Oryctolagus cuniculus: one gene and its partner. The protein of the gene in region 2 interacts with the protein of the main gene of each other region in a pairwise test. Links are inferred from orthologs where the notes say so. Each region holds a gene or a part of one and is shown on either strand. Other genes may lie near its edges.

What was found.
Region 1: the proteins of EHMT2 (region 2) and KLF3 interact in binary tests that used the Homo sapiens proteins (3 or more experiments, as listed by UniProt). The two-hybrid records come from large-scale screens. The link is inferred for Oryctolagus cuniculus from reciprocal best matches to the Homo sapiens genes EHMT2 and KLF3.

What each region holds. Positions count from the first base shown.
Region 1 is NC_091433.1:32,687,130-32,691,132, forward strand, and holds part of KLF3 (Krueppel-like factor 3), read left to right. Parts: intron 1-576; coding exon 577-1,063; intron 1,064-1,712; coding exon 1,713-1,863; intron 1,864-4,003. UniProt on the Homo sapiens protein: Binds to the CACCC box of erythroid cell-expressed genes. May play a role in hematopoiesis.
Region 2 is NC_091436.1:138,646,869-138,650,871, forward strand, and holds part of EHMT2 (histone-lysine N-methyltransferase EHMT2), read left to right. Parts: intron 1-1,319; coding exon 1,320-1,404; intron 1,405-1,567; coding exon 1,568-1,608; intron 1,609-1,738; coding exon 1,739-1,894; intron 1,895-4,003. UniProt on the Homo sapiens protein: Histone methyltransferase that specifically mono- and dimethylates 'Lys-9' of histone H3 (H3K9me1 and H3K9me2, respectively) in euchromatin.

The sequences.
Region 1 (4,003 bases), on a different chromosome or scaffold from region 2:
TTTCTTAATTTCCATCCTCGATACATAACTCAAAGATTTTGCTAAAAGCAATAATTTAGGTGTTCTGTATTTCCTGACTGTGTCCTTCATGTCCTTGATTGAGGTTGGATTAGTGAAAATTCTCCTCCTGCCTTGGTTGCGTCCTGAGTGAGTCTCACTTCCAAATCATAAAAGTTAGAGCCAAGGACATAACAGTCCTCCTGAGCTGGCCTTCAGTGCCTGCCTAGGTGTGTGGGTAACCGACCCTCCCAGTTTGCAACTGAGACGTCTCCTGGGGCGGGGGCTTACAGTGCCAGCCGGGTAAACCAGGCTTGCTGACCAATGAACCGAATGCAAGGGGTCTTCGGATAGCTCATGGAAAGGAACATGCATGGGTTTTTTTGCATGTAATAAACTTAATTGCATTTTGCCATGAATTGTTTTCAAGTACCTTCATCCATCCAAGTCTAAATTACTTTTCAAGGCCCACGTGATTGAAAGTGCCTTGTTGCATGTATTTTTGTCCTAATTCATGTTTCAAGTAAATACACTTACTTGGCTGTTTACAAATGTTGTTTATTTCTTCCTTTCCAATAGTCCTACCCATCTAATTACATGGAGTCGATGAAGCCCAACAAGTATGGGGTCATTTACTCTACACCATTGCCTGATAAGTTCTTTCAGCCCCCAGAAGGCCTGTCGCACGGGATCCAGATGGAACCGGTGGACCTCACGGTGAACAAGCGGAGCTCGCCGCCTTCCGCTGGGAATTCGCCTTCATCCCTGAAGTTCTCGTCCTCGCATCGCCGAGCCTCGCCCGGGTTGAGCATGCCTTCCTCTAGCCCGCCCATCAAGAAATACTCGCCGCCCTCGCCAGGCGTGCAGCCCTTCGGCGTGCCGCTGTCCATGCCGCCGGTGATGGCAGCTGCTCTCTCCCGGCACGGCATCCGGAGCCCAGGGATCCTGCCCGTCATCCAGCCAGTCGTGGTGCAGCCCGTCCCCTTCATGTACACGAGTCACCTCCAGCAGCCGCTCATGGTCTCCTTGTCAGAAGAGATGGAAAATTCGAACAGCAGCATGCAAGGTAACTTCCTCCGCTGAGCCGAGCAGCTGCACCGGCGTGGTAGACTGTGCGCCAGCGTACTATGAGAAAGCACAGAGCACACTTTCTTCAAAGGAAATACTGGCCTGCCTCGGGCATTTCCTTTTGATTCTGTTGAAGTGTTGATAGTGGGAGAGCTCCCAAGGATCAGGCTGTCTGTCTAATACCGTGCAGTAATTACCTTCACTATATGATTGTCAGCTTTGGGATAGTCACGGTCTTGATTTCATAATTTTGTGTTATTGAATGCCAGCATGGTTCTAGGTACAGAAAGGCATTTAATAAATACTTTTTGATCGTGGTGGTAATTAAAAGCTGCCTTGTATACCAGCTGGTCTTAGCCAGAGGAGTATGGGGTGGAAGGTGGAATCCAAAAATCCCAAGAGAAAGTCCTTTTTGGAGAATTCTGAGTCTCTGCATTTGCTGCTTGCTGGCACGGTAATGATCAGAAGAAACGAGAATCCTTCCCACCCCCCGCCACCACCTAGTTGTGTCCCTTTTATATATAACTTTGCCAAAGGCAAATCGATACTCACACCTCAGTACTGTGAATAGGAACTGCGCAGTAAACTCTTAAGAGCTGAAATTGGTAAATTGTACATAGACTGACTCTTGCATTCTTATTTTTTAGTACCTGTAATTGAATCATATGAGAAGCCCATATTACAGAAAAAAATTAAAATAGAACCTGGGATCGAACCACAGAGGACAGATTATTATCCTGAAGAAATGTCACCCCCTTTAATGAACTCAGTGTCCCCCCCGCAAGCATTGTTGCAAGAGTAAGTATGCTGAGGCCTACCCGGGATGGCCATAGTGGCACACGTCTTGGGACCTGGCGTGGAGGGACCAGATTTCAAATGTGTGATGTACTGTGAATGACCACTGGGCAGTGGCTCAGTATCGCTGGTCAGCATGGGAGAAGTCCTCCAAAAACACTGTGTGCTCTGTTGCACGGACAACATGAGCACAAGTTATGCTGAGTTTCCATCAGTTATGTACCCATGATCCTGCACCCTACCACAGGAAGCATTTTTGTTTTTTTTTTTCACCCTTCTGGGCTATGGATACATAGTTTCCCCATACCTACAATTCTGGCCTAGCTTGAATTTGGTGATCTGGATAGGCAACTTAAACTTGGATTGTGAAAAGTTTTCATGTGGATACATCTAGCACTCCAAGTTAGCACTTCTAATCAATCAAGTATATGGTTTCTACCATGAGGAATGTCAAAATCTACAGGCCACGCACAAGCCCAAGAGAGACACTCCAAAACAAGTTCTATAAACAGTGGTGGCAGCAGGAAGTTGTCCCTGGAGCACAGAGAAGCTTAGCTTTGAAAGAACTCTTCATTTTCGGGTCTTTTCAATCACATGTGCTCACAGAATATTCCTTCTGTGGAATGGCCAGCCAGCAGGAGGCTTGCCCTGTATCGGTCAGCATCAAGCGCCTGAGTGGGGGTATGTGTTAGGTCCACCAGGCTGGTACCTTGGTCCCTCCCTGGGGTTAAGTCATGTCATTGGTAGGATTTGCCACTGTGGCGCTCTCTGCCGTCTCCCCGTGGTTATGGTGGAGGCCATTGTTATTGATCATGATTGGTGGTGGTGGTGTAACTTTGTCTGTGTTGTGGTGCTTCGGCATTGGACTCAGCGGCCAGCTTCCTGTCCCCGCACTTTCCCAACTTGACCAAACGTGCCACCCACCTTTCCGCCGATCTTGTCCACTCCTCTCCCCTGCCCAGTTACCTGCAGCAGAATGTGAATTGTCTGGCTGTAGAGCCTCTCTTTCTAGTACCTCCATGTACGTTCTCATCATAGCCACATTCAGCTCAGAGGGGCGCCTCCATCGTCACTTGTTTTCTGCTGTGCCAAATCATCGTTCTTTCTTGGTTGTCCCAGACTCCCTGATGGATGAAGAAGAGCATGGATCTTCTTTCCCAGCCACAGCCAGTGGGGAGAGGGTCTGTGCTGCAGTTGTATGTTAGGCTTCACCGTGGCACACAGCCCATTCCACTTTCCCAAGTGTTTTCAAAGGAATTCTCGCATGCGCCTGTAACAGGCATGTGGGAGCCGGATCAGATGAGAACTGAGAAGCCAAGCATTAGGTAGCTGGTCTGTAAGCACACTGTTAGCAACCAGGGGGGACCCAGGCCCAAGCACTTGCTTCTGGTACAGTGGTCTTCCTGCCTTCTCATCCATTTCCCACCCACGGCCTGTGCTTGCGTGCGAGGAAAAGTAGGGTGACTAAGCAGAAGAGACATCTTGTAGGCTGAGGGACCTCCTGATGACGGGGGTGGCTCTGGCAAGGTAGCTTGCAACATGACATGCACTTGTAATTGTTCCTGTCCGCGTGAGGGAAAAATGCCATGGAGCTGAAGCCAGGCGCCTGCCTGCGCAGGGAGGGCGCGTTGACGGAACAGGAATTGTTCCAAAGTCGAGGTTACTGCGCACGGCAGAGCAAAGCACGACAGAAGGCCATCTGAAGGCAGTGTTACGTGCTGTGAATGCTGCCGAAAGAGAAAACTTTTTTCCTTGCCTGTTCCATGTTCTTCTGATGATCTCAAGCTCAGTACCCTTTAATGATTAATGAGTAAAGCGCTCATTTGAATGCTGACCTCAGAATGCAGTGTGCGCCTCAGAAAAATTCAGCACATCAGCCACAACTGGGACGCGCGCTCTTTGAGTAGTTCCCTCGCAGATGTTATTAAGTCATGTCTTGGAGTGGGCCCAGTAGCAGCCCACACTGGAAACCTTGTAGCCAGGGAAGTCACTGGAAACAGGCGCCCCTGTGGTGAGGCAGCCCCAGTAATATTTGCCTTCGCAAACCCTCCTTTCTAGAGGCTGACTTTACGAGACAGCTGTAAAATCCTTTGGCTTGACCCTAGTTATGGCAAACAGCATGGCTGTTTGGGACGCTCAAAGG
Region 2 (4,003 bases):
CTTTTATTCTGAAATATACTTGAAAATTTTCTTTTGATTTTATTTGAAAGGGAGAGAGACAGAGAAGTCTTCCATCTGCTTATTTACTGCCTAAATGCCAGGCTGGACCAGGCCAATGCCATGAGCCTGGTACTCCATCCTGGTCTCCCATGTGGGTGGCAGTGGCCCAAGTCCTTGAGCCATCAGCTGCTGCCTCCCAGGTCCATTAGCAGCGAGCTGGATGGGAAGCAGAGGGACCAGGCACTCTGTTTTGTGTTGTGTGTGTCCCACGCGGTGCTTTGACTGCCCCCATTATCTTCCCATCTTCCATGAACTTCCTCAAGCATTGGCATACGCGTAATCGTGCAGCATGTCTTTTTGTGACTGGCTTGTTTCAGTTAGCATAACGTGCACTGTCTGTGTGGTGGTAGAATCTCCCTCCTGTTTATGGCTGAGGGATACTCCACTTTGTGTCCAGCAGTCCTTCCCGGAGATGGGTGGGGGGTTGGCTCCAAGACTCCCACCCACCCCCGTACACAGCCTCCTAATGCATTGACTTCCAACACCAACACCTCATGCAGTGTAGGTGCTGCATGGATAGTTGTTCTGCTGTGTTGTTAAGAGAATCTTGATGAAAAAGAAAGTCCATGTGTTCAGTACAGGCAGTGTTTATCTTTTTTTTTTTTTTTTTTAAGATTTATTTATTTTTATTTGGAAGAGTTACACTGAGAGAGGAGAGAGAGAGAGAGAGAGAGGTTCTCCATCCGATGATTCACTCCCCAATTGGCTGCAATGGCCAGAGCTGGGCCAATCCAAAGCCAGGAACCAGGAGCTTTTTCTGGGTCTCCCTGGCGGGTGTAGGGGCCCAAGAACTTGGGCCATCTTCTACTGCTTTCCCAGGCCATAGCAGAGAGCTGGATTGGAAGTGGAGCAGCCGGGTCTTGAACCAGCACCCACGTGAGATGCCAGCACTTCAGGCCAGGCCAGGGTGTTAACCTGCTGCGCCACAGCGCCGGCCCCTACCTTTCTCCCAGTATTTCCAACCTTGGTGGAATCAGTGGATACAGGAAGGAGCTGACTGTCTGTCTCATTTCTGCACTCATCTGTCAGCAGACACTGGTCGCTCCCACGCCTTCGCTGTCGGGAACGATGCTGCTCTGAATGTGGTCTTTAAGCTTGCTAACTTTGTCTTCTCCTCTGCACACTGGGACAGGGGGCCCTGCCTCTGCTGGGCCTCAGTGCTGGGTGGCTCACTGCTGCCCCCCTAGCTGGGCTCCCGGCCAAGCCCGCTAGGACTGTAGGTGCTGTGTGACCCTAACCGTGCTCCTCCTCATCCCCAGCCCCCTGTCCCGGAGAAGCGGCCTCCTGAAGTGCAGCACTTCCGCATGAGTGATGATGTCCACTCGCTGGGGAAGGTGACCTCCGGTCAGTCCCGTGTCCTGCGGCCCACCCCTGCCCCGTTGTTGACATGGCCTTGCCTGAGGCTTTGACAGTACAGGCCTCACTGCTCACCTCTCTCTCTCTTTCTCTCTCGTTCCCTCTTTCCCTCCCTCCCTCCCTCTCTCTCTCTCTATCTCTCCTCTTCCAGATGTGGCCAAAAGGAGAAAGCTGAACTCAGGAGGTGGCCTGGTGAGCAAGAGAGCAGGGAGCAAGACCTCTCCCCCCGGGGCTGCTCCAAGGGAGCTGGGGCTGCATCCAGAGAAGTGGGGGGCAGGGGTGGGAGAGCACAGTGGCCTCAATTTCTCTGATCTTTTCCTAGTCAGAGGAGTTGGGTTCTACTCGGGGTTCAGGAGAGGTGACCCTGGAGAAGGGGGACCACAGGTCCCTGGAGGAGTGGGAGACGGTGGTGGGCGATGACTTCAGTCTCTACTATGACTCCTACTCTGTGGATGAGCGCGTGGACTCTGACAGCAAGGTGAGCCGCCTGCCCTCCCGGCTCACGCTCGTCTTTCCCATCCTTCCCTGTTCAGTCTCCCGAGCACCCACTCAGTTTATTGCCCCATGCTGTCTGCAGCTACTTCCAGAGTGTGCTCCACCCCGTCCCCGCCCCCAGCATCCTGTACCTGCGGGTCAGCATCCCATCTTGTTCTGTGTGTGTTTGCTGTTTCCCTGCTCTGGGTTTGGCTTTATCTCATGTTTGCCTACATCATATGTTCAGCCTTGCCCGTTTTGCTCTTTTAACATTTTTGTCATGGAAACTTTCAAGGATACACAGAGGCGAAGAGTGAGCCCCCATACGCCCAGCACCCAGCTCCAGGGTGTTAGTGCAAGCCCATTACTAATACACAGCCATTCTCGACCCATCTATTTCTCCCTCAGCACACGTTGGCTGAATCATTTATTTTATTTTCTCATCTGTTTGAGGGAGATCTTCCATCTGCTGGTGTATTCTCCAAATGCCCACAACAGCCAGAGCTGGGTTGGGCTGAAAGCCAAGAGGTCAGAACTCCATCCGGGTCTCCCACACGGGTGGCAGGGGCACAGGCACTGGGAACATCCTCTGCTGCTTTCCCAGGCACAGTAGCAGGGAGCTGGATCAGAAGCAGAGCAGCCGGGACTTGAATTGGTGCTTATCATATGGGATGCCGGCACTGCAGGTGTCAGCTTGACCTGGCACCAGCTGAATTTTCAAGCAAATCCCAGGCGTCATCATTTTATCCAGAAATATTTCCATGTGTATCTCTGCATATAAATCTACTTTTTGTTTTTTAACATCACTATGCTACTATTTCACGCCTAAAAATATTAGTGATGATTTTTTAATATCATCAAATATCAGTCTTCATACTTTTTCAACTGTTCATAAGCAGTCCAAAATGGAGTCCACATGTTGATTGGTTGACATTTGTCTTAGGTTTCTCTTGATATATGGGTTATGTCATTTTCTTTTTTCTTTATTTCTTTTTAAGATTTGTTTGTTTATTTACTTGAAAGGGAGTAACAGAGAGAGAGAGAGGGAGAAGGGAGTATCCATCCCCTGGTTCACTCCCCAAATGGCCCCAACGGCCAGAGCTCAGCCGGTCTGGAACTAGGAACCAGGAGCTTCTTCCAGGTCTGCCACGTGGATGCAGGAGCCCAAGCACTTGGGCCATGTTCCTTCTCTTTCCCAGGTACATTAGTAGGGAGCTGGATCAGAAGTGAGCAAACAAGACTTGAACTGTCGCCCTATGGGATGCTGGCACCACAAGCCAGGGCATTAACCCGCTGAGCAGCACTAGCCCCTGTGTCATTTTTTTTTTTAAAGATTTATTTATCTATTAGAAAGGCAGAGAGAGAAAGAGGGAGCAAGAGGTCTTCTGTCTGCTGGTTTATTCCCCAGATGGCTGCAGCGGCCAGAGCTGGGCCAGTCAGGAGTCAGGAGCTTCCTCCTGGTCCCCAACGCAGGCGCAGGGGCCCGAGGACTTGAGCCATCTTCTAGTGCTTTCCCAGGCCATTAGCAGAGAGCTGGATGGGAAGTGGAGCAGTCAGGACTCGAACTGGTGCCCATATGGGATGCCGGTACTGCAGGCGGTGGCTTTACCTGCTATGCCACGGCGCCGGCACCATGTGTCATTTTCTTAAAAATCCTTTTTCACACCATTTGGTTATTGAGAAAGTCAGGTCATTTGTCCTGTAGAATTCCTTGCGTGTTGGGTAGGCATGGACACGTTCCTGTCTGCTGGGTAGTCTCTTGTACACTGGTAGATCCAGAAGCTTGCCCAAGCATCCTTTTTTGGCAGGAAGACCAGACAGTGGGTGTGGTGGCCAGGTGCCAGGAGGCATGTCTTCTTTTTCTTGTTAGGAACTGTAAGGTTGACCAGTGGGTTCGGGTGAGATCGACTCAGTCTCTCCGTTGTAAAGTTCCTTGTGATATGTTTGTCATTATGTTGTTGGCTTTTGGGTTTTGTGTTTGTTTTGTTTGTCTTAGTCGGTTTGAGATTCAGAGAGAGAGAGCCCCCATATCTGCTGGTTTACTCCCCAGATGTCTGTAACAGCCGGGGCTGGGCCAGGCTGAAGCTGGGGTGCCAGGGACCTGACTACTTGT